4 separate regions of the Mus musculus genome follow, and all the other regions are reported to be linked to region 1. The links are microRNA targets in miRTarBase. Many come from high-throughput screens and were not tested one by one. Region 1 holds a microRNA gene; each other region holds the end of a gene's coding sequence.
Evidence for each region. The annotated mature microRNA mmu-miR-9-5p reads UCUUUGGUUAUCUAGCUGUAUGA and lies in region 1 at 4,433-4,455, shown strand. An mRNA with a match to its seed (bases 2 to 7 or 8) in the 3' UTR can be bound and repressed. Matches are read on the target gene's strand: a 7mer-m8 pairs with bases 2 to 8, a 7mer-A1 pairs with bases 2 to 7 and ends in A, and an 8mer does both.

Region 1 (7,117 bases):
AAAATTAATTTCCCAAACCCCTCTAGATCCTGCATATTTTGCATTCCCATTATCATGCATGTCTCCATTTAAATGCAAATTAGCATATTTAACCCTGTAGGTGCTAAGGCCCAAGATAGACAGTACTGGTGTTTTATATAATCTATTGGCATTAAAAAAAAAAAAACACAGTAATAGTGACCCTTTAAATTAAGTCATATTCCTATATAATGATATATATATATACATATATATATATACTGTGATCATTTGTTTTATTGTCTGTTTTTCAGATGACACTTCAAAGAAGCATAAAATGAACAGACTATTCAAACAAAGGTAATTTACATTTTTTTATTTGATAAAACCTGACTGATGTACAAAACGAAAATAGAATATTGTTTACTGGAAAACAGGTCTACAATCTCTCACACATCTTCTCTTGCAACAGATAGAATTCCAGAAACATCTAAGTTCCTCTGTGTACAGTTATTTCTCCTGTAGGAGCCTTTGTATGGATGTAATACACACATATATGTATATGCATAGAGCATGACATAAATAAAACCTGCAATAGCCTATAAGAAAGAAGCTCCTATTTAGAGGAAAGGGTAAGATACTTTTATTATAATGAAAGCCAGTTCACTTCATCACTTGGACCATGGACACTAATGTAAATAAAATGGCTTAAAAAATAAGACAATAGTAGTATTGACTGTAGACTACAATTTGCACATTTGTAATTCTTATAAATGAAATATTTAAAATGATTTGGTGTTGGGCCAGTTCCTTATGCATTCTGCATTCATGTGTATAGGATTCAAAGACGTTCCAAATATTGATCATAAACCAAGTGTATATGAATTAATTAAATAGCATATTTCTGGCCCAAATATGAGGAAAACCATAACTTTTTACTGTAAATCAGGAGAGATTGTTTTATCCCCAAATAAACTAGGATGTTTCAAGTCATGTTTCAGCAATTTGGAGACCTACAAACTATCTGCAAGCAAGCACAACAACCATACTCTAATCTACTAGATAGTAGTGAGAATTTAGTGCTTGAATTCAGGCTGCTTGAATTCAGTATATCCTTCTCTATGCTGATTTTCAAGTAGATATTCTGTAGCTCAGCTAGATAATCTTTTAAAAGCAAAAAAAAAATTAAGTTTAAAGTGTAGTTGCTAAGAGCTGCTCTTCACAGGTGACATCGCTAGGAGTCTTTGAAGATATGTAATTGTAACGTATTGTGGGGTATATATAATACATACAATAAACCATTTTATAAACCTTGGCAATCTTATAAATAAGGGGGCACTCGATGTTAAATCTTAGTATATTTAATTTCTTCTGTGTGCCTGTGAGGTTGATAGAGAGTTAAAATATTTAATTGACTACATTGCTAATGAACAGACTACCCATAATCCTGATCTTGGCTCATTTCACTCATTGGAGTTCCCATGATGAATACCAAGCGTGGAGACCGGCCTTGTAGTAAGTTGGCATGACTAGTGTTGCCCTAAGAATGTGGTATTTATTACAGCATCTTATTCAGATTCTAGTGGGAGAAGCGTTCAGATATGCAGTGTGTTAACTCATTGTAGATATTGTTTCTAAAAACACATTTTATTGTTAGGTATGGGAATAGAGTCATAATAACTTTCAAATTCAGAAAATATGTGAATAAATAACACCCTCCCAACACATAGATATATATATGTAGCTAGCACACCTAGATACATGTGAAGAAAAGAGATTCTATAAGACCATTTTTGATTTCTTGGGCTTTGGCTTACACAGTTGACTATATCTGATCACGTGCTTATTTTATGTAATACAAGCCAAATCATTAATTACTCTGCTGCTAGTTCTTGGAAAGCAAGGCCACGGTGCTCTTTAATCTTCCAAGCTGCAAAGCTCATTAGGATTTTTACATGATGTCAGAAGTGGCATGCGCTTCACTGAGTTGTTTATGCTGTGACCATATGGTTTAGGAATGAACAAAAACTCTATGAACATGCCTTTAGGATTGGATTGTAGTGTCCGTGTGTATTTTATTTCTGACTTCTCGTTCATAATTTGAAGAGAAATATAGACGAACTCTTTCCACATCTTAGTCTTTTCTCAATAGCCAGTTACAGAATGCTTACCATAAAAGTAAACAAATTAATATAAGGACAAATTGGCATCTCTGTTACTAAGCTGTAAGCCATATCTTAATTGGTGTGATATGTTTAAACTCTTCATTGGAGATGTTTCCTATCATTAAAACACAAACCAAACAAACAAACAAAAAAAACTTGTCAGTCTCTTCTTTACAGAGTTTAGATTTTAGGGCTCTGTATGTGATTAAATAACCAGGTTCTTATTTATGTGTTAAATGAATAAATTAGTGAATTACTGAGAAAAATTTTATTCCAAAAAAATTAATAAATCCAAAAGTATTTTAGCCACTGGGGAAAATAGACACATTATGGAATTGAGAGCATTGTGAGGCACAGGTGATGTGTGCAATGTACATTTAGAATTACTAATTCTCCTTTAGCATGTAACTTAAAGAAAAGCAACATTACTAAAAAATAATTAGTAATTTGAACAATAATCCATAATGTTTACCCACAGAGAACATGCTTCTTATGTAGATTACCATGAATATTTTGTTGAGAGGGATTTGAATGTTAGATATTAGATGTGCTAGACAGATTATCTATTATAAAGGATGAGAAAGAAAAGGATTCTTTGAAGTGATTTTAAAGTCACACTTTAAAAACTCCTAAGACAATGAATGAAGCTAATTAATTAATGAAATGACCTTCTGCTTCTCGATAGAAGGATATGAGTGGGTGGGGCCAGGGAGGTGTGGTAGCTTCCCTCCCTCCCCATCCAGGTGTTGGATCTACATGTTCAGGAGACAAGACTTTTATTTTAATTTTATAAGCAAGTCTAGTGCATTATTGTCCAGTGTGAAATTTATGTTAAAACAGTAGACAAAGGCTCAGCATTTTTGCTACAGCAGAGTTGTGTACAACATTGAAACTATTGCTGCAATGTTTACCTGTGCAGCATGCTAACCCCCACACACACTCTATATGCAAAGCATTTTTAAAAAAGAAGCCCCACTGTTTAGATCGTGCAGTTCGAACTTACAGAACAAATATGCTGCCCTATCGCCACGGTACACAGATAGAAAACATGACTGAGCTGTAAAGCCATTAAAAACATAACACCAAAGCAAATTGTCATTGTAACCATCGACTCACTGCGTAAAAACAGAGCTGATTCCCAGCCCCAGAAAGCGAGGCCCTGCTTTAAGCAATAGTAAAGTGCCTTCCATCTGCCTGCCTATGCAATCTGCCAGAAGAGAAATGCAGGCAAAGAAGTTCCCCAGACCTGAAATGCTTTTATCTATCCTTAGAGAGAGATTTTCTCCATTCTTTGGATATTAGAGCGATCTACACTAGCGCCAAGGAGGTAAAAGGCCGCGGGTTGCTTTTCAAGGAGCAGTCCGTAGTGCTAGTGGATGAAATGTTGATTGAGAATATAGGGACTGCTGCAAAGCTGCTGCTGCCGTCGCCGCCACCGCTGCCGCCGTCGCCGCCGCCGTCGCCTGTGCTACTCCTGGCAGCAGGCGTGGGGCAGTTGGGTGACCACTGATGCATATCAATAACCATGTACTTGAGATTTCTCATGACATCATCATTACCTTGGTCTCCCGCAGTCTCAAACCTTTGACCTTGCCGGGCTGGTCCACAATTTGGCGGTGAAAGCCCCTCCAATGATGGCCCTTTTCTCCTTCTTTCAGACCGGGGCAGCAGTACGCCAGCAAGAGGGCATGCTCTGCCCGCCTAGAAGTCCTAAGAAATCGAGGATCTCCCTTAAAACATTCACATACAAGATATGTGCAATCAAGCTGCCTGCACTTGGTAAAAAAGATCATGATGCCTAACCCAATGATCCGGAGCAGATCTTTGAATCAGCTGTCACTTCTATAGAATGGGATTTCCCCCTTCTTCCTCTTTAACCAGCGTTGGAAACTGCCGATGGCTTTATACATCTCAGTAGAGGAAGGCTAAAGAATCTTCCGTGAGAATGAAGCAATTTACAATGCAAATAGAGGCCTGTGAAGAGAAGGACACTGCTGCTCACCCCCAACAGCTTGCTGCACCTTAGTCTCTGGTCTTAATTTCTGATACTCATAGATGAATTGTTGGCTAACGATACTGGAGATTACTTGCTGGAAGGGGAAAAGTTTGGAATAAACTCTGAATGCAACAGATCTCATTTGGATGTTCTAGCCGCACACACTAAGACAGAAACCAGGTCATGTTTACATGAAAGGAGAAGCTTAAACGCGGCAAGTACCCCGGAGGACTACGCTTCCCTAAAGCCAAAGAGGATCGAGATCTGGAGTTCAGCCAGAGGAAGGCAGCCTTGTGAGGGAAGCGAGTTGTTATCTTTGGTTATCTAGCTGTATGAGTGTATTGGTCTTCATAAAGCTAGATAACCGAAAGTAAAAACTCCTTCAAGGTCACCGAGGAACGTTCCGGAAAGAAAGACTGCAACCAAGAGACAGTAAAAACCAGAAAGGTCAGGAATGCTTATTGAATCTAACTTTTTTTATCTTATGATTGAAAGTGGGATGCAAGAAAATTAAGTGACACGCATATTGAAATCTAAAGGGGCCAGGCTTTGAGGGGCTTGTACAACTGGAGAGGAGAATTGTGTAGTGTTTTTTACGGGTGACGATGCATGTATTTTCTATATTGTTCATTTTGAAGCAAACGTTTACATATGAGGTTTTTTTTTTCTTTTTTTTTCTTAGAAAGCTGTTATAGTGATGTCTGGTACCTCGCTTAAAAATGATTTCATAATTATGTAGATTTGGGCTGTTCCTATCTGAGGCCCCTCCCCCAAGTTTGAAGCTTGTGCCTGGAAACTTTCTATGTATTTGGGTGTGTACATCAAATTCTGTGAAGTTAGACTTTCAGTAAAGCTTATACTGGAAGGTTAATAATTTATATCTACCGAAGACTTAGAGCTAGCAGGGAAAAGGGGTGGGGGCAAAGGCTGATTTTTATTCTTCTATTCAAAATACAAGGACAGATGCTTCTCTGTTCCAAGAGGGTTTCCTTGAGGAAGCTACTGAAGCAGAAAGACATGATGGAGACGAGATCGCCTCCCCTCTTGTCAAAGTGTTAAAAAAATGTTCTGTCTTACTCTGCGCCTAGCATTGGAAATGAAAGTGACATTTACGCCACAACCCACGTGTGCGCCTCCTCTCTTTTTGTTTAAGGATGATCAGGTCTATCCAGGAAACAGCTCTGGCATCCCAAACTGAAATAATTAGGACGTATATAGACCTGACAAAAATGGAAAGGGGGTGGGGAATCTGAGGGTCTGTCTTGCCTAATTGATTCCGCTAAACGGAAAGCAGGAGATGTGAACGGCAGGACGCTCCGATTCCCACGCTCGGGGGCAAGTGGTAAAGCCTGGCCGGCAGCCTATGACAGACAGCCCTGTTGGGGGGTAGGGGTATGAAAAAAACATCAAGCACACACACACCATACTCATCTCCATCGCTTAAGAAAGTAAAGGCATTTCCCACCCACAGCCATCTGCAGCCTCCCAAATGGCAACACCAACTGGTTGGTAGCTGCTATGTACTGTCTCTGTTCATTTTTAAACCTCTGTTTAATCTGGCCATGATTAAATTTGGATTTCTCCTTTGGTTGAAATTTTCACCATTTAAGGAAAACAAGTGGAAAGGGTGCCAAGAGTGCCCCAGAACTGCATGCCCTTCTCAGAGAAGTCCTCAGTATGTGGTTAGGGCCTTGTGACCACCTTTGGCTTTTGTTTTGGCTGTGTTATATTTTAAAGTCATGTCTCATAGCATTCATTATTATGACTTACTTCATCGGGTTGTTTACTTCCTTGTGTGACACACAGGAACTTGGCCTACTTATGCTAATCTACATTCTGGAAATAAAGCTATAAAGTCATCAGTCTGTAGAAAGTTGATTACAATCACAATATGTTAGAGAACTTGTTTTGTTTTAGAATTGTCCTAGCGGATGAGCTTTTTTTTTCCCTTTTCCCCCTCCTCTTCCTTTTCTTCCTCCTCTTCCCTCTTCATCTAAAAGTCACTAGTCCCAGCATAAACTTTGAGGCTTTGGAGAAACCACTGTAGTCCTTTTTTGAAGTTCCTTGCATCCTGTTACATTTTATCAGGCAAACATTTGTATAGGCATTTGCACATAAATACAAGCATTGCAATGAGAAAAAAAATTCCAAAATTGCTTCTTTTCTTTCATATGGCCTAAATTACTGACACTCCCAAATGCATAAGTTTTCTTCAGGGACAGTACATTTTTCTTTATAGCTTCAACTTCTTGTAAGATTGACACCAGAGAAACCTGTAAAGCCACTGGTAGTTTCATTTAGAAAAGCCAAGAGACTTTAATAACACAACTTCTCAGTTTGGCCGCTGTACACGTGCCAAAGTTTGACTGCTGTAGAGGCAGTCGAGAAGACCCTTGCTTATTTACCTTGGAAGCACTGTTTGTGCAAACAAGCTTTCATTGTTAAGTGCCTGTATTCCTTTCATTTGCTTCATGTCCAGGGGTGCTATTTACCTAGAACCATTGTCTACTACAATTAACATTTACATTACAAAGTGTGTGCTTTTCTTTCTCAAGGAGGTTCAATTAAGGCAATAAGATGTTTGCTGGGGAAACCTATTGTTTACTCAAAGCTCTCAATGGAGTCACATTACTGAAGTTTTTGCCTACATCTTGGGTCGTTTATGTAAATATGTTAACTATAACATCTAAGGAAAATAAACAATATTAAAATTATGTGTTTGCCATTGTCATATCCAACTTGCTTTGTATCATACTAATGTTACATAACTTATCGATCAATAAAAATACATTTCAATGTTATTTTCATTTTACTTTTTGCTGTCCCACTGCTCCTGCTGCAACATGTCCCAGATTTTCTTTTTTTCTATTACACATCAAACTTCTGACATTTTGTTTTATTTGTGTGTGTTGAAGGAGGTACCATATCTAAGCATGAGTCTAATGGTGTCCAAGATAATCTCTACAGTGACCTTATCATAAGGTGATATTTCTTTAAA
Region 2 (7,117 bases), not on the chromosome of region 1:
CAAACTCGAGATCTTCTTACCTCTGCCTCTGCCTCCTGAGTGTTGGAATTGCTCTTAACAGCATGTTAAGCTTTATCTCCAACCCCAGCTCCATCCTTTCAGATGTCTACTCTTGGGACTGCTATCCAGTCTTCAGTCTCTACTGTTAGGACTACTCAATGATCCTGACAACTTTTGACTTTCTCCGTGGTGTTTTACAGTGGGATCTGCTGTTGTTCTTACTCCGGGAGCTGGTAGAAAAGGATCTCATGGGACATCTGGAGATAGAAGCCTGCTTAGGCCGCCTTAATGAGGCCCAGTGGCCAGGGGTAAGGAGTCTTAATGTTAATTGCTTTGTCATACATTAATAAACCTTAGTTTACCAGTCATGGAGATTTGTATCTGCTTTTGCATAGAAGACATTAGATGAAACCGCTGGGTTATCAGTGTCTTCCTGGCTGTGAGTGCTTATTTAGGATTGACCTTGGAAAGGACAGAACATCCAGAATTACTTTTTCTCTTAACCTTTCTACTTACTTCAGGACTTCTCAGAAGAATTGTCAACACTGTTTCGCTTGTTCCTAGCTGAGCCCCATCTGCTAGAACCCCAGCTAAGAGCTTGTGAACTTATGCAACCAAACCGAGGGACAGTACTGGCCCAAAGCTAGGGCTAGGAAGCAGCCCTCTTGGGCATGTCACCAGAACCTGCCTCCTGTGCCTCAGGAGGAGCCTCAAGACCCCACTGCACGCCTTGTTGGGGCAAGAGTGTCCAGGTGTGTAACCGGGCTTGCTGCTCCTAAGTGAAGGAAGTGTGTTGCTTCAAGCATCCAGACACCGGCCCGCCTCAACACCTGAGATCTAGAGGAAGGAGAACCTGATTCAGAGTCACAGTGGAAAAGCCCAGAGACTCCGATCTTGGAACAGAAGGGCTGGCGTTTTTAATCCAGCTAAAAGAAATGCGTGTGCTGATCAATGTATTTCGAGCCTCAAGTTGCTATCCCAGCATCTCTTAAAACTGTGGTTCTGAGAAATCTTAATAGGCAAAGAACTTCTGCTTGTGAGAAAGTTGACAAACATGGATTTGGAAGTCTACCTTTTCTTGTGTCCAGAAGCTGGACTATCACCCTTATCCCCAAATATTGACAGCCAATAAGGTAGGACTCGCCTAAGTGAAACTTGGTCTTCTATGGACCGTCACCTCTTTGCAGGGAACTAGTCAGACCAAGCCTGATGTAGAAAATCTAAGGGGCTTGGGCTTTTTTAAAATAAAACTTTTAACAAGGTTGTGATGGCTGTTCTCCCTGCTTTCATCCCCTTTCTGAAAGTGGGCTTTGTGCACTGCAGTAAGCGAGCTGCTTTGCTTCTTCATGATGTTTGCGTCTGTCACGCTGAGAGCCAGTCTTAGAGACACAGTCTGCTATGAACTAGCATCATCCACTATCCATGTACTCCCTGCTGTCTATGCTGACCCACATGGCAGGTGGCTGTGGTGGTATTTGTATTGTAGGCCCTGGGATGTCTGATTTACCTCAGAACTTCCTTCTGACCAAAAGCAGCCTTCTGGGTTATAGTTAGCAAGACCTCATTTCTATAAATGAGGTGATTTTTAAATTTTTTATTATACTCAGTGTGACTGCACTCAAGTGCTATAGCACACTTCTGGAAGTTGAAGAACAACTTGTTGGGAGTCAGTTCTTTCACCATGTGGATCCCAGGGCTCAAATTCAGGTCATTTGGGCTTAGCCCTAAGCTATTTTGACAGCCCCTGTAACCAGCTGATTTTAAGGGTTTTTGTTTTCCTTTTCAAGACATGGTTTCTCTTTGTAGCTCTGGCTGTCCTAGAACTCACTCTGTAGACCAGGATTGCCTTAGACTCATAGAGATCTGCCTGCCTCTACCTCCCAAGTTCTGGGGTTAAAGGCATGTGCCACCATGTGCCCAAAGATAGTATTTTGATAATGTGCTTTATCCCTGACAACTGTTGTTTGTTTTGGAGGTAAGACTCAGACTTTAGTGGAAGTATCAGAGGTGCTCAATGGTAACTCGAAGTCAACTGCAAAATCTTAGGGGAAAACTTTGCAGCTGGCAAAAAGGGTTTTGACCTAAGTTAAGCTTCTCTAAACTTACACCCCAGTGCTACTAACCCTCTGGTGTGTGCCTCTTCTTCCTTAACTCCTTTTCCAAGTCTAGGATAGGGCCTCACACATGTTAATGGCAAACTGCTGGTTTCTGTCAGTACTGGTTATCAAACCTAGGTAGGGCCTCACATGTGAGGCAAGTGCTCCAAGCACAGTGGATAGTCATGGTTTTTCTCTTTCTTTGCCTAGAAGTATCAGAAAGCTGAGTCCTGGTAAAGGTGAGCAGCAGGCCAAAAGCCTGAAGCTCAGAAAACTGTTCTGACTGAAGGACTCAGCCATGAAGCGAGCCTGTCTTAAGGTGCACTTAGAACAGCTTGCTCCAACAACTGATTGTAAAGGCAGGCAGGTAACTCAAGTAGAGAACTAGTTATTCTCCATTCTGTACCAAGTACTCTTTTTTTTTTTTTTTTTTTTTTTAATAATATTTGTATTGTAGGGACTGGAATGGCTGATTGATTTACCTCAGAACTTCTTTCTTACCAAAAGCAGCCTCTGGGTAATAGTGGTATTTGTATTGTGTGTTTTGCGGACCACTGGCCTCGAGGCACCTGGGACTTTCTACAGAGCTCTCCATGCCTGGACAGGAACAGACCCAGCCTCGGTGATACCTATACTCTCTAGGATCAGTGCAGGCCCACAAATATGGAAATGCATGGTGGTCAACCATCTTAATATATAATGGCATAGTGTTATAACTACATTTATCCTTTTATACACATTCTTGGGTTTTCCTTTTTTCCCCTTCTGTATCCTTTAATATGTTATCCAGAAATGATTTAATTAATGTAACTATATGTAAATAATTATGACAAGAAACTTTGCTTGAATATCTTTTGATCTATGGTTAAATGTACAGATGTGGAAGATGAAGCTCTAGAGAGTTGACTGTGTGCTTCAGATTGCTGACTCGGGTCTCAGGAGGGGCCGTTCACCCTGTGCTGTCAGATTCCTACAGTAGCTGAGCTCATACACTAGCCGATGAATGTAGAATCTCAACCCTGAACTGTAAACACTGCCATTATCACCTTCAATGGCACATTCTATTTGTTTACTGTTTTTCGAGACAGGTTTCTCCGTGTTGCCCTGGCTACCTAGGAACTCACTGTGTAGACCTGGTTGGCCTCAAACTTAGAAATCTGCCTGCCTCTGCCTCCTGAGTGCCGATTAAATGTGTGTGTGCCCCACCACTACCTGGCTTTTTTATTTTTTACGAGTAATATTTTGACTTTTTTTTTTTTTTTTTTTTTTTGGCTAATAGTCTCAGTAAAGCACTTAATGAAAAGAGGTAGAAACTGGGCATGGTAGCTCCTGGCCTTAGTGTAGGACTTGGAAAGCTACAGAGTGAGATCCTGACTCAAAAAACACACAAAAAGGAAGGGGGCAGGGAGGAAATTGGTAGGCATATGTGTAACACTGCATTATCAAATATTGCCAAAAACTACCATAAAGATAAATCCAAAGCAAATTTTAAAACATTCAATTTGCAATAGAAAAGAATAGAAAATCTAAAGAAATTTACTCTTTAACCAGTCTTAAATCCTAAAAGAACCTTCTTCCATCAAAGATTTGGAGTGACAGGAAAAAAGGGAATTTCTTATCCCTACCATTTCTGAATCAACATGGAAAATCTTCAGAGTGTTCAACCAGGCCAAGATCCAAAACAAAAACAAAAAACAAACAAACAAAACAACAACAACAAAACAAAAAACCACCCTTTTTCTATCATATTAAAACAGTTAAGTAACAAAAATAACTATTGAGCATCTTTCAAAGTACTGAGCTTAAGACATTAAGACAGGGTCTAATGTGTCAGGCTGGCCATCTGTGGATGATCTTCTGGTCTTCCTGCTTCTACTACCAGAGCTATGTGCCACAACACCCTACTAATATACAAAGAAGTAGGTACTGGGTGTGGGAGGTCTATAATCCCAGCATTTGGGAACCTGAGGTATGTTAGTACAAGGTCAAGGCCTGTGCTAAACTTAATCCTCTCTAAGACTTGAAATCCCTCTTACCTTGTTTGCAAGCAGCATGTGGCTGTCCCTACCTATTGGTCTTCAGGCCCCACACCCTGTCTGTTTCTTCAGTTGTCTCCCACTGTACTGCCTACACAGTGACACACAGAGTGGGGAGAGTAATGTGAAGAGAAAATGTTTGTAAATGTTCAATGAGAGAGAATTCGGAGTCAGAATCTGGTTGGTACAGATAGATGACTCTTTAAACTATATGCTTTGGTCCTTTCTGCCACTCCATCACACAATGGAGCTAAATTTTGGAGGCAGATCCAGAGCACCCTTGGCCAGTGCCTGCCTGCAAAGGAGGCACCTTGCCAAAGCACTGTAGTCTCCAGCTCTCCAGACCGTGCTTCTTCTAGTCTTTGAACACGTGGTGTGCCATTGAGTCCCAGAGGCAGGAAATGACGGTGAGAAATCCTGAGGGTGAGTTGATTTCATGCTTTGGACAGGAGCTTCAGGTTGTTCACTCTTCAGAGGTAACTAAGTACTGGTTTTACTGGCAACCCTGGGCTGGTGCCATCTGTATAGTTGGCTATACCATCTGTATAGCAGGCAGCCTGGACTCTTCTTGCCTCAGGGTCTAGAAGCAGCTGTAGAGTCTCAGTTGTCCTGGGCCTACATCTCAGCATTGCTGTCTCCGTGGCCCAATGCTAACTACGAAGGAAAGATGCCAGCTTGGCCACAACCAATGGCTGCTGTTTGATACAGGAGTTGAGAAGATGGGGAGGGAAGCCTGGTGCACCCAGCTCCACCTGAAAGCAGAAGGAAGAACTGAAGATACAAACAAGCCTGGAGCAGCCTGAGCATTTAGATCTGAGTACTAGCTTTCCCCTCCCGGTGATGAAGTTGGAGTTGGCCTGAGAATGGAGAGCCATACAAGAAGGTAAGTGAGGATTCTGGTCTGCTGCTGCTTTCAGCTTCAATAGTCCATCTATTTCCTAAGGACACTGTGGCTCGCCACAGGATATAAGTCGGTCAATCTCTGGTGCTGGGAGCTTCACAAAGACTCAACTTGCTTATTCCTCCCTCTCTGATTCCCCTTACTATTAGCCCACTCTGACCAAATGGCATGACAACTGTGGATTCTTGGATTCTATGCAACTGGAGAGAAATATCCCAAGGTGTGCCATGAGACGATGTAGTGCTGTGTCACCTGGACAAGGGAGATGACTCTGGTTATTTCTTTCCCCTCTATGATGACAGGCTGCAGGACCCAAGCACTGGGCAGGATCTCTCCTCGGACCATTTTTCTGCTAGGTCTTGGCATGGATGCATCATACACAGACTGAGCTGCCATGATTGATAGGCACCCCTAGGGACAGAGATACATGTGAGTCCTGCCTGTGTAATGACAAAACACGGACAGGTTTGAGTATAGTTAGGGTGATCAGAGGTAATACCTTCAGCACTCAAGCCACCCCACTAATTGCACCTCACAGCACTTTAGCCTAAGTTCATCCCATAACATTTTACCACCCCAACATGGGCACCTCTTTGGCTTCCACGCAGACACAGCAGAAATCTCGCAGTTGCTTCAGCTCACACAGTGTGGTATTGCACACCAAGTACACTAGAAAGACAGACAGATTGAATCCTAGTTCTTCAGTGTTAAGAAGCCCCTGCTTTACTCCATAACTGGATCCCTAGTGGTCTTGCTGAGAAGTCTAGAGTTCCCAACAGTGCTGCTTTGACCTTCTACCTCTTGACTCCCTGCCAGGCCTTTGGAAGCTTTCAAGCCCTTAGACTCACCCAGGCTGATGCTGTTGGTCACCCGCTGATGTAGCCTTGCTGTCTGGATGGGCTTGTGATACAGAGGCCACAAAGTGGGATCACTCACAGCTGCCCAGACTTGAGAGAGTGGCTGGGACACCACACTTGCACCCAAGAACCCATGTCGAGTGGAAGAGAATTCCTTGTAGTAAAGCTGTACCTCTTGCTCCTCACCCTGATAGCTTGGGGACACCAGAGGCAAGAAACAGTCAGAAAAGAATTTGCTAGCATGGGGTGTGCCAGGGAGCCGAGCAGAGAGGAGGGGAATAATGCAGAAGGACCAAAGCATGGCGGCAAAATAACTTACTTCCAGCCATCTGTCGCCTGGCGGATGAAGAGGTTGTGGAGATTATCCGAACAAGCAGCCATTACCTGGGGGCAGAGGGTAGACGCGAGGCCTCTAGGTTCATCAGTATGGCTAACATTTACTAAATGCCCACTTGTCAAAGAGTTCCTGAAGCCTCAGTGCCTTGGTGGCCCTAATCTGCCCAACTCCTTTTGTCTCCCTCCCCAACCAATGTAAGTCCAGCTATAGCAACAGGAGGAGGGAGGAATGAATAGATCCAGAGACTCACATCAGCCATTGATGTGCTGACAATGTGTTTGGCCAAGTCCTGGTAGGGGAAGGAGAAGCAGGCCCCTAAGCTGGATAGGCTGGAGGCAGAGCAGCAGCCACTGCCCATCGAGGCTCTGCGGCCTACAACAGAGATGAAGGTTCTGCAATGACCTGAACGCCAGGGTGGTGGGACAGTGATACAGGGCCAGTAAATCCTGCAGACATCATTCCCTGAGCTTTATACTCACTGTGGGCTAAGCTCTTCCAAGAAGACCCAGTCAGATAGAGGTAACTGTTCCTCACTGTGGACTGGTCCTGCCAGTCCCCTATCCAAGTGTCTTGGGAATCTGGCACTTGAGAGTCCCCCTGCAGAACAGAGGATACTCAGAGCAGGACCCAGAATGCTTTCCACTATTCCAAATTGCAATTCCACTTCAGGATGTTGGATACTATGATGGTTTGAATAAGTATGGCCCCCAGCGCCTTCAAGCCTTTAGGCTCATCCAGGGTGATACTGCTGGTCACCATGGAGTGACAGTATTTGAAAGAATTAGGAGGTGTGGCCCTGTTGCAGGAAGTATGCCACTGGGGATGGGCTTGATGCCAGGTCCAGTGTTACTCTTTTCAGATCAAACTATAGTTCCCAGTTACTTTTCCAG
Region 3 (7,117 bases), not on the chromosome of region 1:
TGGTAGGAACTTCCAAGTGTCTCTAGCTTTCTGGGAGATTTGAGGGCTGCCTAGTTTATGCAGGGACTTGTGGGATGACGTGGATAGGTTTTCTAGTGTGTTAGAAGATGCTGGTACTATGGAAGGACTTCTTAAGACTGTTTACTTTATCCTGAAGGAGGGACTTGGGGTTGAGTGTGACCCAACTGGGAAATCTTAAGCCATGAGGCCCTTAAGGTGTGTGTTTGCTGCCTACCTTGTTCTGTTTCTGCGGGCATGAGGAACCCCGAGCCCAAGAGAGTTCAAAGGAACACAGTCCCTTCTGACTGATGCCTTCTGTTTGCATTCTGGGATTTTGGGTCTTCTGAACCTGGGTAGCTTATGGGTATTGAGTAAGTTGCAAATGTCCTTAACCAGACCTCCTTGTCCCTTGGCTCTGCAGAGCTACCCTCCGCTTCTACCGTTCACTGGGATTCCTGAACCTTCAGAGTCTTTAGCTGGGGCAGGGAGCCAGGGCTGGGGCAGCCGCGGCTATGAGGACTACCGGCGATCTGGACCACCGCCTCCACCTCTTGCCCTGTCTACCTGCGTTGTGCGCTTTGCCAAGACTGGTGCATTGCGGGGTGCAGCCCTGGGTCCTCCAGTGTCACTCCCTGCCCCTCTCACAGAGGCTGCACCCCCAGCACCCCCTGCTCGTCCACCCCCAGGTCCAGGCCCCACCCCTGCTCCAGCCAAAGCCTCCCCAGAGGCTGAGGAGGCTGCACGCTGTGTGCACTGCCGAGCACTCTTCCGCCGCCGGGCAGATGGGCGTGGTGGTCGCTGCGCAGAGGCCCCTGACCCAGGTCGCCTGCTAGTGCGCCGGCTCAGCTGCTTGTGGTGTGCCGAGAGCTTGCTGTACCACTGCCTGTCAGACGCCGAGGGTGACTTCTCGGACCCGTGTGCTTGTGAGCCAGGCCACCCACGCCCTGCTGCGCGCTGGGCTGCTCTGGCTGCTCTGTCTCTGGCAGTGCCCTGTCTCTGTTGTTATGCGCCCCTGCGCGCCTGTCACTGGGTTGCAGCACGTTGTGGCTGTGCGGGCTGTGGGGGTCGCCACGAGGAGGCTGCACGGTGAGGATTGTTGAGCTGGTTTGGAAATCGGTCTGAAGACCCAAAAATTGAAGGTCCAGGACCCTGAACAGCATATGAACCTAAAACCCAAACTTAGGTATATCTGGAACTTGAATGGATTTGAGAGATCCCAGATCTGGTACCTGGACCCCAAACTGAGGACTGAGATACCGAGGCCCTGCTTCATCAGGGTGTCTGCCCACCCGAAGTCCTGAATTCTGGATTCTCCATACCTTTTCCCCACTGAGAAGACTTAGAATATTTTCAAACATTGCATCTCAAGGGGCCCAGGAGCTCACATCTTGGACCCTGACTCTGTCTAAATGCCCAACCCAGACTTCAGGTCATACTTGACATTGTAAACACTCATCTTACGGCCCCCAAACTAGTCAAGAGTTACTCAAACTTGACACTATTATCAAATGACTTAGACCTTGAGACCAGAGGACCCAGAATCACCAGAAAATGGTCCCTGAATTTTCACCTGAGACCTGGTATCTTCACATTTAGATGCTCTTATAGCCCCAGGATGGTTTGGAATCACCAGATACTGGCCTGAACTCTACCCGCTCCTGAGAGTCCACAGACATTGCCATCAGTTCATGTGCAAGTGACCCGCAAATTCCCTAGCACCCCAGATTTAAAATGTATTAACTCCTTAGATATCCTCACATATGAGGTATTTTCAGACCAAAATTACTTGGGAGGCTCTTTTCAGAGCTCAGCAAGGTCCAGATATCAGATACCAAGATGCTGGGGGGGGGGGGGGGGAGCCAGGCTCCAAACACCTACTCCTTAAGCCAGCCATGAGAATTTGAGTCTTGTGGATGGGCTCTGAGATGCCTGGTATCCTTAAATGTCTGCCTGAAGGCCACCTGCACTTTGGGCCCAACACACTGGTTTGTAGAGATTAGCTAACCTTCCGGTTTCCCTTAGGCCTGAATTTTAAAATATTCTGGAAACATCGGCTTCCTTCTGCCTACACTCCCCTTCCACCACGTTGGGTGGAAGCCTGGAACTTAGAAGATGCGGTGGTCATGGTAACCCAGGTCCTTCATTCCTTGACTCTCAGCCCGAGAGCAAATCCAAAGGGCTTTATGAGCCCTGGATCTAAGACCCAAGATGCCATTGGACCCTGGGTGCAGGAGTCAAGCCCTCACAATTTTGGGATTGGTTTTGGCCTGACACCTTGATCCCTTCAGACCAGAGACATTCAGCAACAAGATGCCACAGTCTTTCAGCACCGTTAGGCTCCAGGTGTTCTTGAATTCAAAGTACTTGTAGACTAATGAAGCCCCCATTTCCTCACTACCTGATTTCCCCGTCTCCCATGTCCTGCCATCCAGAGGCCCATAAAACTGAAATGCCCTAGCAATGCCCAGACTCCCACCCCCACCCCCTTTATCCTAGGGCAGGGTACTTAAGCCAGTGTAAATTCAGATTCCTGGAATCCGGGATCACCTAGCAGTTTCCCCTTTCCCCTCTCTAGGGCCTGGCTTTGCTATGGAAGATTGTGTGCTGTCAGCTCAGCAGAGGCAGGCAGCTACAGGGATCAAGCAGAGACCGCAGAAGGCCTACCCTTTGCACACCTGTAATTCCGGGGCCAGCAATTGATCCCCAGAAGACCCACCCCCACCCCAACCTTGCAGATTTCCCACACTATAACCCCTAGTACATTCAGGTCCCTCCCCTGTGAACCTCTTCCATCTCAGTTGGGGGTTGCTCTGAAAAGCTCAGTATTGTTTTGTAGTACTTCCCCATGGAGAAGAGAGGAGCCACAGCCTCTTTTCCCTAAGTAGAGACACTAGGATCAGGTGTCCTGGATAGGAGAACTAAGATTTCAGAGCCAAAGTCTTGATGGTTCATGGGCTTAGGACCTACATCTGGCCCTAAGTACCTGGGAATGTACACTTGAATCATTTTTCATTACCCAGACTTGGGTGGCCTTGTGGGGGTTCAAGGGATGAATATTTGTGTCACTTCCTTTAAATTATTAACTATTTATTGTATCCGGAACCTGTGATTCAGCTCCCCCAAGCAGATCCTGGGATGGGTGAGAGAAAATGGGGAAAGAGGGTGTCCCTCCCATCCCCCTTCTGCCCAGCTCTCATCAATTGTCAGACCCACCAGAGCTGAGGGCAGAGGGACTGGGGGCTGGGGCAGCCTGCGTCCCCATCCTCTCTTTGTGCCTCGGTCTCCCCCCCTTCCATGGTAAGCGGGGGAAGCTCCATTCTTAACCTACCTCGTTTTGGGAAGGGGTGGGGAGGGGGACCAGAGTGCTGTATGGTGCTGTGAGATCTTCGGATTAAGCAGTGGGGACTTGGGGAAGGTTCCCTAGTCCCCCATCTCCAGTACCCCCTCTCCCAGGTCCCCTTGCCCTGTTCCTTGTCGATACCCACCTCTGATCCATGATTACCTTTCATTGCCCCCATATCTGGGGTGCATGGAGGACTGAACCCTGGGAGCCAGGAAGACCTCAGATCCTAGAGCTCCCGAGCCCAATTTTCCAGCTGCTTGCCCCCCAGACCTTGGGGGAGGTCCGCCAACATTTCTCTTCCTGATCTTGATTCCAAGCCAGTCTGTAACCTTGTTAGTGTCAGGGCAGGCTGATGTGGAGGGAGGATGGGGGCCAAAGACCCAGCCTTGTCATTGGGGGAGGGAGGGGACTTGAGATCTGCTCCAAGAAATGTCTGTGACTGTGTCTCCGCCTGGTCTTTATTCGTGTTGGTGCGCCCTGTCCCCTTGTTTACCCGAAGGGCTTGTCTTTACTTCTCGTCCCTCTACATTCTGCAGTCCTGAGCTGGTCATCTGGCTGGTTTATATGTCCAGTCAAGTACATTTACTAAGCCCCTAATGTGTCAAGCCCCATTGTGACTGGCAGCGACACAGTGAACAACGGGAGGGGAGGGGGTTCAGTGGGTGTGCGCAGGGGCCAACCAGCACTAGCCATTAAAGTAGGAATTGGGCTGGTAAGTTGGGAATGGATTTAAGCAAGGTGGATCCTGGGAGAGGAGGGTGGAGAGGCTTTGAGTGACATTTTGTTACCCCAATGGAATGGAGTTAAGCAAGGTGGATCCTGGGAGGGGAGGGTGGAGAGGCTTTGAGTGACACTTTGTTACCCCAATGAGTGAGATGGGACCATAAGAAGGCTCCCAAGTATTGATTTGCATTTTCAAAGGCTATCGCTGTGTGAGGAAGACTCCTGGGGTCGTCCCTGTGGAGCTGCAGGTAGTGTCTGTGAGAGGGAAGAGGGAGGTTAATGGATGTTTGGAAAGACTCCATAATTGAAAAGAAATGTGCTCGCTTGCCCATAGGTATGTGTATGCACCACCTGGCTCCTTGGTATCGGGCTCCCTAGAACTGAGCCATGTGGTTGCTGGGAACCGAAACCCAGATGCTCCGTAAGTACTCTCTTGCTTAGCTCTCTCTCCAACCAGAGCTCCTAGGTTTACACATGGAGTTTGACAGAAGGCTGAAAATGTTGCTCAGTGGTGGAACACATGCTTAGCATGGGCAAGAGCTTGAGGTAAGGCCCAACACCAAAGAAGGAGTAAAGGTTATTAGCCCAAGGATTTTGTTTTGTTTTTAATATTTTAAAATTATATGTGGCTCCATGCATGTGACCTGGAGTTTCTGGTGCTTGTGGGCCACATACATGGAACTTGTGGTGATCTTCCTATGAGGACACATGTCTAAGTCACCAGATCTGGTTTTGAAACATTATTTTGTATTTATGTACATGTGTGTTTGCAGGGATGCCCAAAGAGGCCAAAGAGCATGGTGGATCCTCGGGTGCTTACGAACCCCCAGAGGTCAGTGCTGGGAGCCAGCTTTTGAGAGAGCAGCAAGTCCAGTTCCCCGACTTCTTGGATTTTTGTTTTTGGACAGGGTTTCTCTGTGTAGCCCTGGCTGTCCTGGAACTCACTCTGTACATCAGGCTGGCCTCGAACTCAGAAATCCGCCTGCCTCTGCCTCCTGAGTGCTGGGATCAAATTCGTGCGCCACTACGCCCGGCTTTACTTGTTATTAACTAAGGATGCACCTTAACATATGGACCATAATCCTCACACTTTTAAGAATGAGTGCTTGAGGGGGCTGTCGAGATGGCTCAGTGGGTAAGAGCACCAACTGCTCTTCTGAAGGTCCTCAGTTCAAATCCCAGCAACCACATGGTGGCTCACAACCATCCGTAATGAGATCTGATGCCCTCTTCTGGTACGTCTGAAGACAGCTACAGTGTACTTACATATAACAATAAATAAATCTTAAAAAAAAAAAAAAATGAGTGCTTGAAACATTGGGTGTGACACAAACCTATAGTCCCAGATCTTGGGGGGCTAAGATAGGAGGGTCTTAGTGAGGCCAGATTCCATTTAATATATTAATGGCTGGAGAGATGGCTCAGTGGTTAGGAGCACTTGTTCTAGCAGAAGACTTGGGTTTGGTTCCCAGCACCCACACAAGACTTCACGACCACCTGGAAGTCCTGGAAGTCCAGTTGCAGGAGATTGTAAGCCTTCTGACTTCTGTGGGCACAAGGTACGCGCACACACATGCACACGCACACACACACACACACACACACACACACACATACACACACACGACATTCAGGCACATAAAACATATACTTTATTGCCCTTGGATCCCAATCGCATAGATGGAAAAAACCAGTTTGGCAGAAACATTAGCTGGCAAATGGAGTCAACCCCAGTCCCATCGGCTTGCCTCCCCCTTAGGATGGAGTTTCTCAATGGCATCTGCTTTTTCTTTCGAAGGCCTACAGAGGCAGAGAGTCTGGCTAACACTGGACCCACTGTGAGGTGGAAGGAGGGTCTGGCTGAGGTGGGAGAGTGGATGTGAAGACGTGCTGAAAATCTAATCCTAAAGTGGAAGAAAAACAAGTCGGATGGGACTTTCGGTCTGGGGTGCACTAAGAACAAAGGGCAGCTGGGCGTGTCACACGCCTGTCAACCAGCAAACAGAAGGAGGAAGCAGGACTAAGAAGCCAGCCTGAGCTACATAAATGTATAAATCGAGACCCTGCCTCCAAAAGTATAAAAGTTAAATAAGTTGCTTTTTGCTTTTTTTTTTTTTTTTTTTTCTTGAGAGTCGGACAGTAGGGACACCCGAGCCTCCTGCGACCTCGTAGATCCAAACCTCAAGCTATAAAATTTACACTGGACAAGTTACCTGAAGGGTGCGCGTGGCGCGCGACCAAGCCAATAGGAGCGTGGAAGCGCCTTCGCACGAGAATATGGTTGGATAGCAGCGGGAGAGAGGAGGCGGAGGGAAGAGGGGGCGGAGCCTTTCCCTGGCGGAAGGGGGCGCGCGCACCGGGTCCGCAGACGGAGTTGCCATGGATGGGGCCATGGTAGCGGGTGACCTTCTGACACTGGGGTAAAAGATTCGGTGGTGTGGCCTGGGGGTACGGGAAGGGCGCACTCGCCTGGGGACGCGGACGCAGAGGGACTCGCACTGACGCGTGCCCCGCCGCAGGTACGATGCCCTCCCGGAGGGGGCGTCTCGGGGTCCCGCGTGTGCAGACTTCAGGGCGCTGTGCGCGCGGCTGGCGGCCGAGCTGACGGCTCTGGGAGCTCTGGAGCGGCGAGAGGAGGGCACCGCAGTGCTGGGCGCCGGCCACGGTGCGTGAGAAGCTGGGTGGACGGCGGGTAGAGCCGCGGAACCCGCTGCTTCCTGATGGCTTCTTCCTCCCGCAGGCCCGGACACAGAGGAAGAGTTCCTGCGGCAGTTGGCCGGCTGGCTGCGGGCGTTGCACTGCCCGGATCGCGCGCTCTGCGGCGGAGACTGCGCCACCGTGCTGCGGGAGCCCGGCGGCGGCCTGCGTCTGCTGCGTGAGCGAGCTTGGAAGGCCCAGGGTGGTGGCGGTGGGCGGGGCCTCTGAATGGGGCGGGCTCTGACGCTCAGACTGGACTCCCGTGGGTGTGGCCAAAGCTTTGCGGCGAGCTTGAAGGCCGCAGGTAGATAGGCTAGGGTTAATTAAGGCTTGGCTTGAATTCTGACAGAGGCC
Region 4 (7,117 bases), not on the chromosome of region 1:
TCCCTGCATCCAAAAGCCCGGGGCGCTCTCCTCTTGCACAACCAATTCTTCCACCTCGGCGGAAAACTGGGTTCGGTGCCCGGACAACAGCAAGTGAGACCCAGGCAGCAGAGATGTGGGCGAGGCTGATGAGGGGAAGAGAGGAGCTGAGCTCCACCCTGACCCGACTACACTCCTGTCCACAGGCCCACCAATTCCTGTCAGACCAGTTCCACAGTCCTCAGCTAGCAACTCCCAATGTTCATCCCGGCTCCAGGGAGCAGCTGTCAAGTCTTCCAGTCGACTCCCTGTCCCTTCAGCCATCCCCAAGCCTGCCACCCGAGTGCCACTCATTGGGCGGAGTCTACCACCTGGAAAAGGTGCCCTAGCTCCAGATTCTCTCTCAACTCAGAAAGGGCATCCAAGCGCCATAGGGCACAGAGGTAAGATAGAGTGGACAAATGGTCAGGCTTAGCATGGTGGCACATTTCTGTAGTCTCAGCACTCAGAGGGTAGACACCAGAGAATAAGACGCTCAAGGCCAGCCTTAGCTATATAAAACCATGTCTCAGGAGAAAAAGAAAAACAAAATAGAGTCGGGCAGTGGTGGCGCACGCCTTTGATCCCAGCACTTGGGAGGCAGAGGCAGGCAGATTTCTGGGTTCAAGACCAGCCTGGTCTACAGAGTGAGTTCCAGGACAACCATAGCTATTATGGGGAGATCCTGTCTCAAAAACCAAAGAAACAAAACAAAAACAGAGAACCTTAGATAGAAGAATGTCTGCAGTGACACGGCTTGATCTTCCCCCACTACAGCTGTAACTGCTGTTAACACTACTTTCACGTAGTGTTAAGGAGGGAATGCCTTGCTTTCTACGTGGCTCATGGTTTTACCTTGGTCAGGAAACACATACCTTCATCCAGTCTTTCTGATGACGTCAGCTGAGCTTCGTTCTAACTCATCTCTTGTTAATTTCCATCAAGCCTCTGTTTCCCAGAAAACAAACCTTCCAACCACCAGTGCGGCTCGAGGCAGGACCACCAGTGCCGCTCGAGGCAGGGCGCAGCCCCTCAGGAAAGCTGCAGTCCCTGGACCGACTAGGTAAAACTGGTCCCTCTGTTCTCATCACCTGGGCTTCCAAGCTGCGGTGCACACAGCATCCTCGAATTCTGTGTTGAGTGGGGAGGAGAGGGGTGAGGGGTGCTACTCTCCCATCCTGAGGGGGTGTGAGTTTGGCTGGGTACCAGACAGGCTCCGGAGGAAGAAGGTTTTTTTAAAGCACCCCCCCCCCCCTCTTCTTTCAGGTAAGAAGAGCACGTCAGCAAACAAAGACTCAATAGCAAGCCACTACCATCTTAGCCATCAAAGTCTGGACTCTCCTCTGCCAGTGGTCCCTAACTCCAGTAGCTCTGTGCCCAGAGATGGGAGGAAGAGATGCCTCCAGGGCTGACCTCTGAAGTAGAGACTATGGGGGATCGGGTGCCTTGAGCTTGAGGGGACTCAACCCCACCCTACCCTGCCCTGAAAGAAGAAGAGAGGGGCAGAGGTCATCTGCCCGTGGAGAAACTCACAAACAAAATAATAAATGCAGGCAGAGTGACCTATCTGTCTCCTTCCATCTTGTGGTCAGGACTAGAGAGCTTGATCTTCTACCACGGTTCACTGGCCATTCCCATATGAGCGGCCTTAGGAGCCCGCCGGCTCAGTTCTCTATGACATGTCTTCCTGACTGGATACTGGTCTGTTTGGAAAGGCCAGGAGGACAGCTGATGTACAGAACTTGTTTCCTATGAATTCTTTGACTTCTCACAGGTCAATCAGTTATAAGCTTACTCACATCTTCATATTTTTTCTTAAATAAATGAATTAAAAAAATTTTTTTCTGTATATCTGAAAGTAGATTTTAACAGTTTTAAAATAAACGTCTGTGTAATTCTAGTGAGCTCTCAGACATAGGCCCTAGGGATTTGAACCTCCAGCTCCTGCAGCCGTGACTAGTCCCTTGGTGCCGGTCAATTCCAATCAAGTCTCCTTTCTCCTTTCAGTGTTTACAGATAGTCCAGATCAAAGTTGACTGAGGTTTCACCTACAGCGCCTGAGGCTGTTATGGTAGGAACTAAGTCTACTGTTACTCCTTAGACTTAACTATTATTTGACAAGACAATGGAACCCCTTAGGGGATAGAGGCCCTTTGTTGGTGTTGCTTCTGAGGTTGCCTCTACCTCACTTCATTAGGGTTGCCTGTGCTCTCTCTCTGCTCCTCTGCTGGATCCGAGGGCTGGCATCACAATTTAGTAACTCTGACTGTGCCCTTGTGTTATAGCTTGTCTGGTGGAACACTGCAGAATGGACACATGGTAGTGAGTACTCACTGAAAACAGAATAAGGTTTTAACAAGCCCAGCTTAGGATCCGATTTGTAGCCTTTGACTCCTGCAGTCAGAACTAAATCAGTCCTTTATGAAGAAGAAACTTCCCTAAAGGCAACTGAGCATAAAGGAGAAAGGGTGGCCCGCTACTGTGTCCAAAAGTGCTCTTAGGCCTTCAGCGCTCCTCCCCTATCCCCACATCCAGGGGCCCTCCATAGCATTTCCTTATGGCTGTCCGTAAGATTAATTTAATAACACCTATAAATACACGGGGACTATACACAGTGGTGGCTGCCTCTACATTCCAGCCTCTACAGCCACTGAAATTCTCAGAGCTGACACGCGGGAGGGAGCAGATAACACAGATGTCATGGGTTCTGATTTGAAGAAATACGGTACAAGGCAAGAAAGTCTCAGGTGTGTTTCCCAGATTCCAGCCTATCTCCCCTCAAACAGCCTGGCTCAGGGGGAGGTCTTCTGGGTGGGCTATAGTGAGGTCAAGCTTACCAACCAGCCAGTAGCTGAGTCCCCTTGATCTCCTGGGGTCTTCCAGGCTTGCTTGTCCTGGGCCTCCATCCCAGTGAATAAGTCTGCACAGAGCTCAGGAAACAGAAGTTGCTGGCAACTTCTAACTGGCGTCTGCAGTAGCAGCCAAGCCTAAGAACACACACCTCGGCATGGCCAGTAGGTGGCAGGTTTGTTCCGTTTTGGTTGGTTGGTTTTGTTTGGTTTTGGAACCAAGCCCTTGTGGGTGGGGAAGCAAAGCCAGCCACAAGCCCTTGTGTTGCTGCCACCTGGTGGCTGGAGCCGGCAAAGCATTTTCTCTCACTGGGTCAATCTTGAGTTTCTGCCTCCACCCAATAGGGCTCGCTGACTCCAAACCTGCCGAACTCACTTGGTGGTAGTGCTTACCTGCCACAGCTGCCCTTCTTGTTTAGCTACCTGCTTGCCGCCTCCTCCCTGGCTTAGATTTCTAATTTTCTCTCCGTCCTCCACACCTCTTCCACTCCACAAGCAACAACAGGAGAAGCCAGTGTTTATTGGCCTCTTGCTATGCACTGTGAAAAGTTGTAAGCACTTTGCATGTGTTAAGTTATTTAATCCTCCTAAAAGCTCAATTAGGCAGCTGCTGTTACCACTGCCCTCATTTTGTAGACAGAGAACCAAGGCGCAAACAAATCAGGCTGCTGCTTGAGGTTCCAGGGTTGGTTCATTATATCCTCATTTGTTGGATGGAGCTTTCAAAAACAAAAATTAGGACTAGAAGTAGTGTCACCAAATACATACTTATTCCCAGAATGAGTGTATGCTTTATTCCCCCAAGAAAACAGACAGACAGACAGACAGCCCACAATAGCCAGGTGGTGGTGGCACACACCTTTAATCCCAGCACTTGGGAGGCAGAGGCAGACAGATCTCTGAGCTCGAGGCCAGCCTGATCTATTGAATGAGTTCCAGCCAGGGCTATACAGAGAAACCCTTACCAAAAAAAAAAAAAAAAAAAAAAAAAAAAAAAAAAAAAAAAAAGAAAAAGAAAAAGAAAAAGAAAAAGAAAGAAAAGAGAAAAGAAAAAAGCCCCAGAAACTCCCACTCCACTTCTTCCTATCTACCGAATTCTGCCTTAGAAAACGTGTTTGTCTGGGACTCAGGCTGAGAACCGGCCTGATTTGTGTAGCCTCTCCACCCCCTCCATCCTCTCCATCCTCCCCATCCTCCCCAGCCTCCCCAGCCTCTCCATCCTCCCCAGCCTCTCCATTCTCCCCAGCCTCCCCAGCCTCTCCAGCCTCCCCATCCTCCCCAGCCTCTCCATCCTCCCCAGCCTCTCCAGCCTCTCCATCCTCCCCAGCCTCTCCATCCTCCCCAGCCTCTCCATCCTCCCCAGCCTCTCCATCCTCCCCAGCCTCTCCAGCCTCCCCAGCCTCTCCAGCCTCTCCAGCCTCCCCAGCCTCTCCAGCCTCTCCAGCCTCCCCAGCCTCTCTAGCCTCTCCAGCCTCCCCAGTCTCCCCAGCCTCTCTAGCGGTACAAGCTTATATCCTAGGGGAAAACAATATCCACCTATCTTCCTTCTCTCCCTTCCAACCGCCAGACTCAGCGCTCTGTGCTGTTGCGGCTTTAGTCTCTCTGTCCTCAGGATCGTCAAGGTTCTACCTACCCTGTTTCCCACAATCCAGGCCTCAACCCAGGCTGCTTTACAGAAGCCAGCGATGACATGGCTCCTGCACAGAACTAGTTTATTCAGTAGTATGGGGGGGGAAAAAAAAACAAAAACAAAAACAAAACTCTACCATATTTACAGCGACAATCAAACTGTACAATCTGATGGTTAGTATCAAGTTAGCATCCAGCATCTTTGTATTTTTTTTTAAGTCAAGTCATCAGTAGTTAAAAAAAAATATATCCAGTTAAATTTTTAACCCTTTACAGGAATTGCTGAGGGGAAGAGGGCAGAGGGCAGGTGAGAATCCATGGCAGAAAAGCCAGCGGCCAGCCTTCCAAATGAGAGACAGGGACATCTTTCCTGCCTCCTCGAGCCTTTATTCTACACCTGCTCTAGAAGGGAAGTCAGTGACAAGTCTGGAATACATGCTCAGAGGAGAGGGGGACTCAAATGAACGGTGGTTGCAAAAACCCGAGGAGAGCAAATGGAGCGAGAGGAAGGATGGTAGGCCCCAAATCCAGGGCTGCCAGGGACTCACCCAGCCTGCAATGGGCACATGAGACCCCCTGGGGACCAGACACAAACCCATCCCAACACACACACACACACACACAAAAAAAAAACCCAAATAAATAAAAAATATATTAACTCTCTCTTCGCAGGGAGCTGGGGTCAAGTAGGGGGACAATGGGGACCAAGGACCTGGTTCTTTGAAGAAGAGAGCCAATTCCAGGAAGGGGTTAAAAATAGAACATGTCTCAGAGGCCACAGCAGGTCAGACAAAAAAAAATGGCATTTGTCTGATTTGGCGGGGAGGGGGTGAGTGGACAGCAGAACCCAGACCTGGCACCTGTGCTGGGGGCCCCTCAGGGCCACCATGCCAGCTCTGCGCTTACCCTTCCTCCTGGGACCGCCCACACAGCAAAGAAGCAATGGAAGAGTGACTGGCCCTACCTGCAAGGGTGGGCAGGAGAAATGAAGCACTTTGGGGTCAGCAAACTGAGCAAACACCTGGGCTGTAGCACATGGCCAGAGTCCAGGAAAAGGAGAGGGGCTGGGGTAGTCCTTCCCCATCACGGGGGCAACAGGCTTCCCCTTAAAAAACGGTTCATGCAGCATTTGGGGGGTCCAGGGGCCATGAGTCCTTCTGCCCCTGGCCGGACAGGGCTTGTCAGTTCCTGGGAGAGGTGGAACTGGCGGGTGGAAAGTGCCTTTGTTTTTTTTGTTTGTTTGTTTTTGTCCTGACCCCTCACCAACTGAGGCCTGTCTGTCCGTCTGTCCGGTGCAGCCTTGCAGGGGCTCCTGCCCCTGGTGCACGTGGCTTTGTCCTTTCCTTTTGGTGATGGCAAATGAGGGGCAGGCCCCCTAAGAGTCCCTCTCCTCCCAGAGGCACAGGAGATGAAACTGAAGAGAGGCTGGGACACGTCCTGGGTGGTCCTGTCCTCTTTGGGAAGGGGAAAGGGGAGTCCACTTCCGGCGTATAAAAACAAAAGTAATCCCTGAAGTCATGAAGAGTGGAGATCCTTTTTTTAAATTCTTTTTTCCTCTTTTTTTTTTTTCTGAAAAACTTTGTCTTGGAGATGTTGGCCCCCCCGAGGGTCCAAAGTGCAGTGAGGGGGAGGTGGGGGAGGGACTTGGCACTAGTTGGCCTTCTGGGTGCAAGGCCCAGGCTCCTCAGATGGACGGTTCGTCGCTGCTGCTTCGGAAGGCAGGCAGGTGGGCGGTAGGGAGCAGGGGCAGGATAAAGCAGAAGACAGGATTGGGGCATGAGCGCAGCGGGGGAAGGGGACGAAGGAACACCGGCCCAGGGTTAATGCAGGAAGTTAAAGAAGAGAAATCTGGAGAGGCAGGAGAGGAGAGTGGCAGAGAAGGCAGACAGAGGGTTAGCTGGAGCAACAGAGGGGACAGTGAACAGCTTCCACCAGAAAAAGAAACAGAAAAGCAGCCCCAGCCCCCACCCTCTCGCAAGACGGGGGACAGGCATTGCGCATAAAGCCCAGGGGGTCTGGTGTACCCCCAACAGAGCACCATGTTGTCTGGGCGCACAAGGGAGCTGGACTCCGCTTAGCCCAACTGCCAAGCAGAGTAGCCCGGTGAAGCTCAGAGGCAGCAGTGGGTCAGTGGCTTGGGTTAGCAAGGACCTCAGGCAGGTTCCCCCCACCCCACCCCCGTCTCTCCCGCCCGACTCACTCAGAGCCAGAGGAGTCCTCATCCACCGTGCCTGCCTTGATGCTCATGGCGACAGGCATGACCCCATTCAGCTGTTCCTGCAGAGACTGGCGCGGAGGTGGGCGGGGAGGAGGTCCGTGCCGACTGCCCTCACTGATGGAGGAGCCCCGAGAAGACCCTGTGCCCTGCTCCAGGGGCAGCCTTAGGAGGCTGCTCTTTTCGCTGATGGTGGGCAGACACTTCTTCTTGAGGATGCCTAGGTACAAGGTGTGGGTATCATGAGATGGGAAGTCCTAATAGCTCCGGCAAGAGAATGGGAGAGTGGAGCTGATGGGAGAGACTCCACTCACCTTTGTGAGGTTGGGTAGAAGGGCCCGGAAGGGGTCCCAGAGACCCTTCCCGAGTTAGGGCATCTCCATTCTCCCGTGGCCGCTCTTCAAGG

Region 2: miRTarBase lists Cdan1 as a target of mmu-miR-9-5p. Seed matches in the 3' UTR shown: 7mer-A1 at 1,918-1,924.
Region 3: the mRNA of Spred3 is a reported target of mmu-miR-9-5p. Seed matches in the 3' UTR shown: 7mer-A1 at 3,716-3,722.
Region 4: miRTarBase lists Celsr2 as a target of mmu-miR-9-5p. Seed matches in the 3' UTR shown: 7mer-A1 at 5,950-5,956.

Annotation. Positions count from the first base shown.
Region 1 is chr13:83,734,389-83,741,505 of GRCm38, forward strand. It overlaps Mir9-2 (microRNA 9-2), which reads left to right and starts at 4,426; the gene lies at 4,426-4,497. C130071C03Rik (RIKEN cDNA C130071C03 gene) reads left to right here. Exons shown (of 4, transcript NR_152245.1): 3 at 273-318; 4 at 3,782-6,920. It overlaps Gm51268 (predicted gene, 51268), which reads right to left and starts at 4,488; the gene lies at 4,433-4,488.
Region 2 is chr2:120,712,332-120,719,448 of GRCm38, reverse strand. It overlaps Cdan1 (congenital dyserythropoietic anemia, type I (human)), which reads left to right. Exons shown (of 28, transcript NM_026891.2): 27 at 201-308; 28 at 522-3,295. The coding sequence ends at 647. It overlaps Stard9 (START domain containing 9), which reads right to left. Exons shown (of 33, transcript NM_001370940.1): 27 at 6,707-6,824; 28 at 6,478-6,599; 29 at 6,210-6,274; 30 at 5,882-6,084; 31 at 5,623-5,702; 32 at 5,286-5,444; 33 at 3,568-4,884. The coding sequence ends at 4,783. Among named protein-coding and RNA genes, the nearest start is that of Cdan1, 16 kb to the left of the region's middle.
Region 3 is chr7:29,155,499-29,162,615 of GRCm38, reverse strand. It overlaps Spred3 (sprouty-related EVH1 domain containing 3), which reads left to right. Exons shown (of 6, transcript NM_182927.3): 6 at 422-3,787. The coding sequence ends at 1,090. It overlaps Fam98c (family with sequence similarity 98, member C), which reads left to right and starts at 6,406. Exons shown (of 8, transcript NM_001146023.1): 1 at 6,406-6,486; 2 at 6,586-6,731; 3 at 6,807-6,941. The coding sequence starts at 6,446.
Region 4 is chr3:108,386,315-108,393,431 of GRCm38, forward strand. Celsr2 (cadherin, EGF LAG seven-pass G-type receptor 2) reads right to left here. Exons shown (of 34, transcript NM_017392.4): 32 at 7,026-7,117; 33 at 6,697-6,931; 34 at 4,534-6,344. The coding sequence ends at 6,317. It overlaps Psrc1 (proline/serine-rich coiled-coil 1), which reads left to right. Exons shown (of 8, transcript NM_019976.3): 5 at 1-93; 6 at 186-422; 7 at 964-1,081; 8 at 1,285-1,917. The coding sequence ends at 1,288. Among named protein-coding and RNA genes, the nearest start is that of Psrc1, 6.0 kb to the left of the region's middle.